3 linked regions of the Stegostoma tigrinum genome follow. The main gene of each other region encodes a partner of the protein of the gene in region 2 in a complex. Links are inferred from orthologs where the notes say so. Each region holds a gene or a part of one and is shown on either strand. Other genes may lie near its edges.

Region 1 (3,751 bases), on a different chromosome or scaffold from region 2:
CTCACTACCTCAATATTCCTACAGGCACTGTACGGGCAAGCTGCCCTGTCAGGGGGATAGAGCACTCAACCTGCTGAAGAGCGTGTCGGAGAGGGAAACTGAAGTCTGAGCTCCCGCAGCAGCGGCGGGGCTGGGGGTAGGTGTGTGGGCATCTACCGGTACGTCCCATGCACACAAACCCAGCCTCACACCCTCACGCACTTATACACACACACGTATTTATTTACACACACGCGCACGCACTCGCATACACTCAGATACATTTACACACACAGATGCACACACTCATACACTTACACATTTACACACATACATTTAAACACACACTTAAACACGCACACACATTTACACACACACTCCCACACTCACACACACACACTTACAGATACACACACGCACACACTCGCATACACTGACACACATGCACTGATACACACACACACACTCACTCTCACACACACACACACAAACACACACTCTCACGCGCACGCACACACACACACTCACACACACACACACACACTCTCACACACTCTCACACACACACTCACACACACTCTCACACACACACACTCACACACACACACACACACACTCACACACACTCACACACACTCTCTCTCTCTCTATCTCTCGGTGTCTGGGTGCGGAGTCCCGGGCGGGATTGCCGGCCGCTAAGACTGATACTGGTCAGTGTCGGCCAGCAGCTCCCCGGGAGCGCGGAGCAGACCCGAGCCGGAGCCGCACAGACACACAGCGCTCTCTCTCTCTCCCTCTGTCTCTGTCTATGTGTGTGTGTGTGTGTGTGTGTGTGTGTCTGTCTGTCTGTCTCTCTCCGTGTCTGTGTGAGAGGCGGGAAAACACCGCTTTAATACAAGGATCTGACCAATCATATGGCTGTTTCCTGGGTAACCAGCTGCAGATTGATGCCAGTATCCAGGAGACGGCAGCATCCCGGGCTCCAATGACCATTCCCCAAAACCATAAAGCTCCGGCTGAACCGCTCCATCCGCCACTCAGCTCCGGCACAGCCAGGACCCGATCCCGGTGCGAGCAGGTCAGTCAGAACACCCCCTGCCCTCCCCGGGGCTGGTCAGCCCGACCCCCATTGCCGGGCCTGACCCCATCACCTGTAACCCAACAGCCTTCCCCTGCCCTCTGCCCCCTGACTCACTCCAGCAGCTTACCCCCTTGCTCTCCCCCCGCCCCTCCTGCACCCTCTCCACCCCTGCCCCTTCTATCCTGCCTCCCTCTCTCCTCCTGCCCTCTCCCCTCCTGCCTCATCTCCCCTCCCGCCCCCTCTCTCCTCCTGCCTGCCCTCCTACCTCCTGCCTTCTCCCCTCCTGCCCCACCCCACGCGTCCTCCTGCCTACCCTCCCCTCCTGCCCCCTGAGCTGCCGTCCCCCCACACCCCGCCCCGGTAAGTTACTGTAGTGAGTGAACCGAGAGACGGGGCTGAATTGAATTGATACTCTTGCCTCTCTGTGTGATGTCCCAGGGCGCAGTGTCCGTGGCCACATCAGGAACTCGCTGCGAGTTGACTTTGGCGAACCCAGAAGCCTACTGTGCGCTTCCTGATTCCCAGTGAGGAGCTACAGAGTAACTACAGGAACACCGGGATAACGGCACAGCCAGGCGAATGAGTAATCGGTAAGACGCTGCAGCTTTGATCTGCATCAGAGTTTGTATTTGTCTTGAACAGTGTTAATGCAAATAATGACAAGTGCTAAAGCTGAACAATACACTAAATCTCAAACGAATGCAGAAGAACCGACGGTCCTCTATTGAAGATGCGTTCTTTATTAGAAACATACGGAAATAGATTCGCTTTAGCAATGCGATCCTCCTTTGATATCTTCAGCAAACGCTGCACATGTGTTTGCGGAATCGCGTTGCTAAAAAATTCCGATATTTGAACGACCCTTACATTTCAACTTCGCGCAACGTGAAGCCAAATCCACTGGGGGCGGGGGCGAACTGCATGTCCACCGAGCTGAGGGGTCTACCTTCTGAACCCTCCCACCTTGTCCAGGTAACATTCCGGGGTTGGAGTGTTACCCTCGATATAGAACGCTTCCTTTTTTAAAGAACTGACATCTCATATTGCTGAAGGCATTCTTTGTATGCAGTTCTCTATACTACTGGATATATTTTATATTGCTTTTACAATATCTGGTTCAGCTGGTTTATTAAAACACGCTGAAGCCTGTACTCATAAAGGGACAAAGCGACTGAACATCACTTCTGGTTTATTTGACTGATTAATTAATAAATGAAGGTAATTTGGACCTGGTGGATGTGAGTTACCTTCAGTGATTACTAGACATGTTTGTGCAAATAGGTAAATTGAGGCATTGGACATGTTCCATTCAATTGTTTTATCCTGAAAATAAAACATCATCAGTCGGGAATATCGAGTGAGTTTCTGGGACTTAAGAGTCAGTAATTACAAGCAAATGCTGGCTTGCTTTTGGTCTATAATTCAGTCTGGGTGGAAAAGCAGAAACACAAGGCTCCTCGAATTGTTGTATATAATATCACAAAGCCAGGATAAATAAACAGTGATGTTATAGAGGAGTATGGTCAGGATCTTAAAAATGTTTCACAGAAGACATTCTGTTAAGGCAGGCTCTATCCAGTTTTGTATTTAAAATCATCTCAGAAATGCAGCAACACTAAACAGTTCATTTTTGATCCTCACACCTTTAACAACATTTTCATTACCCAACCAGTCTCTATTTCAGAAATTTCTGCTGGGCTAATCTTGTAGCCCTTGATTACAGAATAGTTCTGTGCCAGCATAATAAGCAGTGAACACTCTTGGCTGCAGCAGTGGGGAATGAGGAATAAGCATTGAAAGGTTTAAGATGAGTTATGGAGTGTGTAATTTGTATAGCATCCTCAAAGTGTTTGAGTCTTTCATCATCCTTCAAGATCAGTACTCAGTGCTGTTTGGATGAGGTAATGTGGTTTTATATTCTACTGTTCCAAGCTTTGAAGAATTCAAGGCAGTAAATTAGTGGAATCTTCTGCAGTGAGGATAATGAACTAGTCACTAAGTTTTCCTTTAAATTTACATTGTCATGTTAAATTGTGGTTTCAATCTGTTCGTACAGTGCTTTGACTGTTTCACAGAAGCACTAACCTTTCAATGTTCCTTTCCCATTCATAGAGCTACAGAGGGTGCAGTTCCCTCATGTTGTTATCTATTGGATACTGTATAAAAGACTGACAGAGATAGAATAGTAACAATAACTCACTGCACAGAATGTGTTTTTGTCAGAGAATTGCTCAGGCTGCAATTTGTGAAAGAGCCTGGGTTAGAATGGGATCTGACTAAACTGATCATTTGCTATTTTTTCAGTGACAGATATCATTGGATGAACGGCAATTAACTCTCATCTTACACAACATAACACATTGACACATGTGGATTTATTGATTTTAAGACAGTTTCATCAAACTCCAAACCTTCAACAAAGCAGGCTCAATCTGAACTGCTGTCATGAAAAGAAACTTTTCTGCTTCTACTCATGTGCATAAAATGGGATTAGAGAAATGGTTAGAAAATTAATAGTAGCTGAGAGTGTTTGTCTTATGAGGCATATAAGATAAGGAAGCACAAGGTTTGAACCTTAATCCATGCTGAATAAGGTGACTGCAAAGAGGAAATGTCTGGCCTCAGTGACTCTGTTTTGCTGCAGGTTCACAATTCCTCTTGGACTGTTATCCTAGCTGGAAAGTAATCTGT
Region 2 (3,751 bases):
TAGAGTGTGGTGGATGCCGGGACACTGAATACATTTAAGAAGGGGTTAGATAGATTTTTAATTAGTAACAGGTTGAAGAGTTAAAGAGAGTGGGCAGGAAAATGGACTTGAGGTTGAGATGAGATTAGCCATGGTGGTATTGAATGGTGGAGCAGGTTCAAGGGGCCGAATGGCCTATTCCTGCTCCTAGATCTTTCCTTTTGGAATACGGCACACAATTCTGGCCATCCATTTATAGGAAAGATATTGGTAAATATGAGAAGGTGCAAAAGAGATTTACAAGGATGTTGCAGGCTTGGAAGGTTTGAATTATTGGGAGAGGCTGAATAGCCTGAGGATTTTTTTCCCCAGGAGCGTCGGAGGCTGAAATGTGACCTTACAGAGGTTTATAAAATCATGAGGGGCATAGATAAATTGAATGACAAGGATCCTTTCCCTTGAGTGGGGAAGTCCAGAACTAGAGGGGCAGAGGTTTAAAATGAGAGGGAAAAGATTTAAAAAGGACATGAGGCATAACTTTCTCACGCAGAGAGCAGTGTGTGAATGGAAGGAGCTGCCAGAGGAAGTGTGGAGGCTAGTACAATTACAACATTTAAAAGGCATCTGGATGGATGTATAAATAGGAAGGGTTTAGAGGGAGATGGGCCAAATGTTGGCAAGTGGGGCCAGATTAGTTTAGAATATCTGGTCAGCGTGGACGTGTTGGACCGAAGGGTCTGTTTCTGTGCTGTGCCACTCAATGGCTCTATGAATCCATGAATATTTCAGTTGCAAAATCTCACCACTTTTCCAATGGATATGTGTATAATTGTGGATGTGTAAATAACCTACAAAGGGTACAGTTTCCCCTTCATTCTTTCAGGGTGTCACTGGCTACAACCAGCATTTGTTGCCCATTCCTAATTGCCCTCGAACTGAGAGGCTTGCTCAGCCATTTCAGAGGACACGCATTGCTGTGGGTCTGGAGTCACGAGTAGTCCAGACCAGATAAGGACTGCAGATTTCCTTCTCTAAAGGACATCAGTGAGCCACCAATGTGTACAGCTGGATGACCACAGCAGGCCAAGCAGCATCAGGGGAGCAGGAAGGCTGACGTTTCGGGTCTAGGCCCTTCTTCAGAAAATCTGCGAGCCAGATGGGTTTTTCAACGATGGCTGATGTGTTACTGTCATCATCACCGAGACCAGCTTTAAGTTCCAGATTTGCTCCAATCCAGCTGTTTCGTGGTTACAATAGTTTCCAATTACAAATTTGTTGAATTGCACAGTCACTGCTATGGGATTCTGAGCACATGTTTATACATTATTGGATTCTGACACCACTACTATGCTACCATTCCTGTAGATGTGCCTGTCTGCACACTTTGTTAATCTCCATCCATATTAGGGAATGTTTTTCTGTTTCTTGTATCTGGTATAGTGGTAACTATTCCTCTATTATGTCTGGTTATGTCTGTCCAGTCCTGAACTGTTCTCTGTAAATCTATTAGCACTCTCCTTTCCCCAGAGTTGGGGTGTCTGGGGGGGTGAGGTATTAATTCAGGAGGCTGTCAAAACCATAACCCTTTTCTGCCCACGAATCAGTCTGTATAATGGTTGGTTCGGCTTTAAGCAGAGCTAGGCGTGGGGATGTCTGTGTGTGTGTGTGTGGAGTAGGGAGTCTGACTGTGTGTGTGTCGAATATGCAGCAAGGAATGACGGTGGAACTGAGCAGTAGGGATTTGGGATTAACCCTCCTCCGCGAAAGAAATTTATCTGTTTAATTATCAGATAAGGGAGGGGTGTGTGGCCGTCGGGAAGAAAAGGAATGTGAAGAGAAGTGGGAGTGGACGAGATTAAAGGCGATAGAGAGACAGCAATAAACAGGGGCTGTCTGAATTAAATCTCAGTTGTAGCTTCCGAGGGCTCGGCTCTGATCTGAAATTCCGGGGTTCTGTCCACGAAGCTGGAAAGGCAGCAGAATAATGAGTGACAAAGGCACAAGGTTTGTGAGATTTCTGTTTTATTGGATGCTTAAAACGCAACTGGAAAGGGGAATGGTTAGAACGGGTTGAGCTCCAGTCTTGAGACTGGGATGCAAACTGGGAGAGAGTCTCCTGGCTTTATTTGTAAACCTTGAACATTCTCAATCAGTCTGTTGCTAATAACATAGGGGGAGATGGTGGCCTAGTGGGATTATCTCTGGACTGTTACCCAGAGACCCTGTTATTCTGCTGGGTACCTGCATTCAAACCCTGCCATAACAGAAGGAGGAATTTGAATTCAATAAAAACAAAACTGCAATTAAGAATCCAATCACAATTGTCATTAAAAACCCATCTGGTTCACTAGTATCTTTTCTTTTAGTAAGGAATCCTTACCCAGTGTGGCCATCAATGTGGTTGATACTCAACTGACCTCTGGGCAATTAGAGATGGAAAGTAAATGCTGGCCTGGCCTGTAACACTCACCTCCCATGAATAAATGAAGATCAGATTTTTCTGGCATTTTTGAGTTTAATTTTTCACGATGATGTTGTTTTCTTCGTGCTACCATTGCAATGTTTGCTGCTGGTTAAAAGCTTTTGAATGAGACTCTGAGCTAAGATCCTGGGGTTAACTGGTACTAGGATTCAATTTAAAAGCCTTGATGATCGCGGGGTGGGGTGGGGTGGGGATAGATGGGGATTTGTCACAGGATTGTTTGAAAGTGATCCCCCTCCCGTTTTTAGATCCCTTTGATTCCTGTTCTGCCAACTCTTAGATATTCCGGTGGATTACCATTTCTCCCCCCGCCCCCGCCACTCTTCTCTCTCTCTCATTTTGGGATACAGCATGTTCCAATTTGAGGATTCCAAGTGGATCACATAATTACTTTCTTGTGGCTGTCCAACCTTCAGCTGTGATGAGAAACAACAGCAGGAGGAGGCCATTCAGCCCCTCTATCTATCCTGACACCCAGAAGGACAAAGGCTGTCCTATGACTTCACTTGCTTTGCCTCCCTTTACCAAGTGAAGGGGAATCTGAGGATGTTGGATATGAAATGATGCATCGGGCTGCGAGTCTCCTCTGGGAGAGGGTATTCCACATTCAGCTCAAGATTCAAAAGTATGAGGGTATGCGTAAGAAGCAAACATGGTTTGTGGAGTTAGAGCAGGAGAGAGCCAGAGAGTGGGGTCGAAGAAGATAAGAATGTTCTCCTTCAGGAAGAGAAGGCTCGGGGGAAGAATTAATAGAGGTATTTGAAATCATGAAGAACTTTGATCGAGTCGATCAGGAGAAACTGGTTCCGTTGGGATGGGGTGGGAGGGGGTGGTTTGGTGTGGTGGGTCGAATTGGCAAACCTAAAGGCCACACATTGATGAGGTTTGAGCCAAAAGGAGCCAACATTTATCTGACGCAAGGGGTTTCTGTGATCTGGAATGCACTGCCTGAAGGGGCAGTGGAAGCAGATTCAAGAGGAACTTTCAAAAAGACCTTGGATGAATTCTCAAACACAAAAGGGGGAGAAGGGAAAACCAGGAACTGGAGAAAGATGAAGAACAAACAAAGCTGACTGCCTGGTGTATTCTAAGAGTGGGGACAGATATAATGGACATCCCAGTTCACTGAGTAATAGGGAAGAAAAATAACATGTTGGCCTTTATTTCAAAGGGATTGGAGTATACAATTTTGGAGGTTTTGCTAAAACTACACAAAGCATGAGTCAGACCACAGCAGGAATACTGTGAATAGTTTTTGATTCCTTTATCTAAGGAATGATATACGGGCAT
Region 3 (3,751 bases), on a different chromosome or scaffold from region 2:
TGCAAACCTTGACAATGAAAAATATCTAACTACTTTCAACCATATTGTCAAAGCCGCTAACTTCTCCATTTCATATTATTGTCAGCATACTGCACTTTGTGGTAGTTTTTGTTTTACATCCTCAAACAGGCAGTAACCCAGTCAAGTTATTGCCTTTTATAGAATCTGCCTGCTCTTCATTCCACTTCATACTGAAACAACAAACATCAAAGACCAACATGCTAGAAAGGCATAATACAGCATACTATTCAGTTATTCATGAAACCTTTCATACTCATGCTTCTTACCAATCTACATAATTAGCTGTGCAGATTATATTCCTAAAGAGAGATTGATTCTGCAAGTTCTGTTAGTTAAACATTCGATTTGAACAGACGAAAGAAATCTTGAAGTAATCGTACAAAATAGCATAATTTATGAGTACACTTTGTGAAAGATTCTTTTGTAGAAATAAAAGGACTTGTATTCTGATGCATACTTTTCACAGACACAATTATTAAGAAGATGATCTGACATTTTCCTGCCTGGAGGCAAATTCTGATTCATTTTAAAGAGAACGCAGTCGGGGATGAAGGTAAATCATGGCTAAACGCCAAAATCTATTCCTTTCTCTTTGAAATTACCTATTTCAAAGTAACATACAATTCAACTTTTCAATACTAAATTGAGAGTACAGAAGCAAAATACTGCAGATACTGGTCTTTTGATTTTTTTTAGAAAAAACTTCTGGTAAAACTCAGTCGGTCAAGCAGCATTTGTGCAGAGAGTTTCAGGTTGTGACCTTTCATCAGGACTGCTTGCGGTTGGGAGACCCCAGTCCTACTTGGAAAGCTGGAAATAGCTCCTGCTTTCTGTAGACCCGTCTCTAAGGAAATCACTACACATCAAAGACAGACAATTCGAAAACCAACGCCAAATCAACAGGCCGGTGCCAGATTACAGAAAGGGGAAACATACTAGGGGCAATCTTGAGCATGAGTTAAATTAGTTTGCTCTGAACTATATTCACGGCCAGTGCAGGCGTATAGACAGCCAGTTGCTCACCTGGATGACTGTTTTGACAGTCGATTCGTTCACAATAGTGGTGCAGATCAAATCATTTGGATCAGGGTCTGTGGTCCCGTATTTTTCACCCATGGTGAATGTCATCGGGGTGGCCAGCAGGAATGAGAGGAGCCAGATCATGGAGATGAGCTTCTTGGTGCGACTGGTGGACATCAAGGTCTTGGCTTTGAATGGGTGACAGATAGCCAAGTAGCGCTCGATGCTCAGGCTGGCGATATTGAACGCTGTGGCGTAGGTACAGGCGTCCCGGAGGAAATAGTAACCCCGGCAGATGGCATCCCCGAACGCCCAGGGGTGATGCACCCAGATGAAGTTGTAGAGTTCGATGGGCATGCACAGGAACAGGGTGAGGAGGTCCGAGAAAGCCAGGCTGGCCAGGTGGTAATGCACGGTGCTCTGTAAGTTCTGCAAAGTCTTCTTCCTGACCAGGGTGTGCAGAGTGATCGAGTTTCCCAGCGAGCCAAGGAAGAAGAGGCCGAGGTACAGCAGAGTGACGACCACCTTGGAATAGATGTCAGTGTTCACATCTAGATCGCTGTCCCCGGCTCCTGGTTGCTCCTGGGTGACATTCTTAATCCCAAATCCAGCCAGATGGTCAGCTGGCAACCCATTCAGACCATCGTGCCTCTCCAAACTGGTGTTTAAGACAAGGCTCATTTTCAGTGTGTGTGTGCGTGTGTGTGTGTGTGAGAGAGAGATAGTGTGGGCTGCAGTCGGGACCAGTCCGAGTGCTCAGCCTGATCCCAGCGCCCGGGAGTGTACTGGTTGCTGGCGAATGGAGCAGGACCTTTTATAGGTTCGGTTGCCCCTCGAGGATCTTTCTCGGAAGGTGACGCACTGAGCGGAGGGACTGGGCCAAAATAATTGGCCAAATGGCTCAGATTCTGCGCTTTTAAGCAATACATTGACCGGAATTCATATTGGTTAGACGCTGTAACCGAGTTGGATGGGGCAGCTACAACAGACGAGCAAGATAGAAAGTGCATTGTTTGCGGACAATTTGACATTGCTTTGCTTTTGGGATGGAGTGCGGATTGTGAGGGGAGGGGGCGTGATATCCCCATGTGAGATTTGTTTCCCCGGGTATTTTTGTTTTAGCACAGTCAGTCACTAGTCGCCACCTGCTTGTATGTATATCCAGTTCCCAGGCTCTGCTGAAATCACCCCTAAACATTCTCCGCGGCACAAGTCTATTTTAGTCGCATTTCTTGCTTCAGGTTTTGGATTTCCGAATTGTTCTTCCTACGTTATTTAAGCGAATTCCGAAGGAGCTGGTGCTGACCATGTTTCAGACACCGGGGATGGTGGAGGGGAATATTTTGCCAGAATAAATGTCTGGGAATTCCGCCGTCCGCAACACTTGCCTCCCCCGAGCCCTTCACTCTCACCGAGCTAACATTTCGGGTAAATTGACTTGTTGCAAATCGCTTTCAAGATCACGAAGTGCGTTCGGAAGTTGGGCTGCATCAGATCTCGAGCTTCCTGTGAAATACTCAAGCTTGGGAAAAGTGCCGCCGGTTTTACACTGATAGGGAATCCGCTGGCGGAGGGTGGAAAATGGAACAGTTTGTAAATGCCGCAGCAGTTTCTGTGTCTAGAAAACGTTTTGTATGGAAGCGCCGGGAAAATCCAGCGAGGGATGAAGCTCTGAGCTCCTTCCGCCTTGAGAAATAGAGATAGCCCTTCGCTTTGCTTTCTGGCTCCGCCAATTCACTCTCAAATATGGGGACGATATCAGTTTCAACCATCCAGGCAGTGCTCACGCTTTCTGGGCGGAACTGTAGTTTTCTCCCACCACGGTTTTGAGAGCAGCTAACAGGAGGTAGGTTTTAAAAAAGCCTCCTTATAATAATCCGCTCTCCTGATTATATGCAAGTCGTGGGTGAAAAACCGAGATGGGGATTCGATAGCTGAGTTTGGAGATTAAAGAAAAACCTAATGTAGTTCAAGGTGGGGACTCGTACAGATGAAAGCCCACCTTTATTTTCCAGATGTTAACACCACCTCTGAATAACTAGCATTACAATAAAGGTATTTAATCGCTTTACAGCCCGCAGAAATATGCTTTGATACCAATTCTCTGGCGTGAGCTATTTACCTCCCAAATTTTGGAACATACTCATTTTCCCCAGACAAATCACAGACGGGTGAAGGAGCAAATTACTGCGGGTTTGAAATTCAGTAATTTCAGATACAGTGATAATCTCTACATCCCCCTGGATGGAGACAAACGCTTTTCTTTCCAAGAAAATCAATAATTTCTAGTTTTTGGAGTTTTGGGGAGGAGGGAGGTGAGAGGGAGTAGAAGAGAGAAGAGAGCTCTGCTTTAATCTTAGTTAGGCTAGGATGTTAGGCTAAGATTTTTGCTTTATTGTTTGACAGGCTGTGTTTACTGCACGATTAGACAAAAGAAACAGTGAAGATTCTTAAGTACTCAAGTGTTGCAAAAGGCCGCTGTTTCCTGATTTTAGAATTATAGACTCAGAGAATGGTTACAGACTGGACAAAGGCCATTTGACGCATCATGTCCAATATGACATGGCTGTTTGAAAGAGCAAGTCCCTTAAGCCATTTTATCCCCTTTCCCCTCTCTCTGTAACCGTGAAATCAATCCTTGACAGCTTCAGTCGAGCCTGATTCTACGTCCCTCTCAGAAAGTGCACTCTAACCACTGGCTGGTATGAAA

The links.
Region 1: the proteins of beta-arrestin-1 (region 2) and metabotropic glutamate receptor 3 are in contact, whole or in part, in a cryo-EM structure (PDB 9II2), measured with the Homo sapiens proteins. The link is inferred for Stegostoma tigrinum from reciprocal best matches to the Homo sapiens genes ARRB1 and GRM3. Residues at the interface, in NP_004032.2 of Homo sapiens: Gly5, Thr6, Arg7, Val8, Phe9, Lys10, Lys11, Ala12, Ser13, Pro14, Tyr21, Arg25, Arg65, Glu66, Asp67, Leu71, Gly72, Leu73, Thr74, Phe75, Arg76, Lys77, Arg103, Leu104, Lys107, Pro133, Arg236, Phe244, Asn245, Thr246; in NP_000831.2 of Homo sapiens: Pro605, Lys608, Ala609, Ile669, Phe670, Asp671, Gly672, Val673, Lys674, Asn675, Ala677, Gln678, Arg679, Lys681, Phe682, Ser684, Cys761, Pro762, Glu763, Phe765, Val834, Val835, Thr836, His837, Gln855, Ser856, Ser857, Ala858, Ser859, Thr860.
Region 3: the proteins of beta-arrestin-1 (region 2) and ntsr1 are in contact, whole or in part, in a cryo-EM structure (PDB 6UP7), measured with the Homo sapiens proteins. The link is inferred for Stegostoma tigrinum from reciprocal best matches to the Homo sapiens genes ARRB1 and NTSR1. Residues at the interface, in NP_004032.2 of Homo sapiens: Tyr63, Arg65, Asp67, Leu68, Val70, Leu71, Gly72, Leu73, Thr74, Phe75, Arg76, Lys77, Asn245, Thr246, Ala247, Gln248, Tyr249, Lys250, Lys284, Arg285, Gly286; in NP_002522.2 of Homo sapiens: Ser93, Leu94, Gln95, Ser96, Leu97, Gln98, Thr100, Val101, Arg166, Ile170, Pro173, Lys177, Phe286, Ser287, Met288, Ala289, Ile290, Ala297, Leu298, Gly301, Ser368, Asn370.

The regions. Positions count from the first base shown.
Region 1 is NC_081378.1:2,760,358-2,764,108, forward strand, and holds the start of metabotropic glutamate receptor 3, read left to right. Parts: upstream 1-976; 5' UTR 977-1,057; intron 1,058-1,498; 5' UTR 1,499-1,650; intron 1,651-3,751. UniProt on the Homo sapiens protein: G-protein coupled receptor for glutamate. Ligand binding causes a conformation change that triggers signaling via guanine nucleotide-binding proteins (G proteins) and modulates the activity of down-stream effectors.
Region 2 is NC_081359.1:109,447,719-109,451,469, reverse strand, and holds the start of beta-arrestin-1, read left to right. Parts: upstream 1-1,628; 5' UTR 1,629-1,963; coding exon of another isoform or gene 1,964-1,983; intron 1,984-3,751. UniProt on the Homo sapiens protein: Functions in regulating agonist-mediated G-protein coupled receptor (GPCR) signaling by mediating both receptor desensitization and resensitization processes.
Region 3 is NC_081372.1:20,182,559-20,186,309, reverse strand, and holds the start of ntsr1 (neurotensin receptor type 1), read right to left. Parts: upstream 2,141-3,751; 5' UTR 1,723-2,140; coding exon 1,045-1,722; intron 1-1,044. UniProt on the Homo sapiens protein: G-protein coupled receptor for the tridecapeptide neurotensin (NTS). Signaling is effected via G proteins that activate a phosphatidylinositol-calcium second messenger system.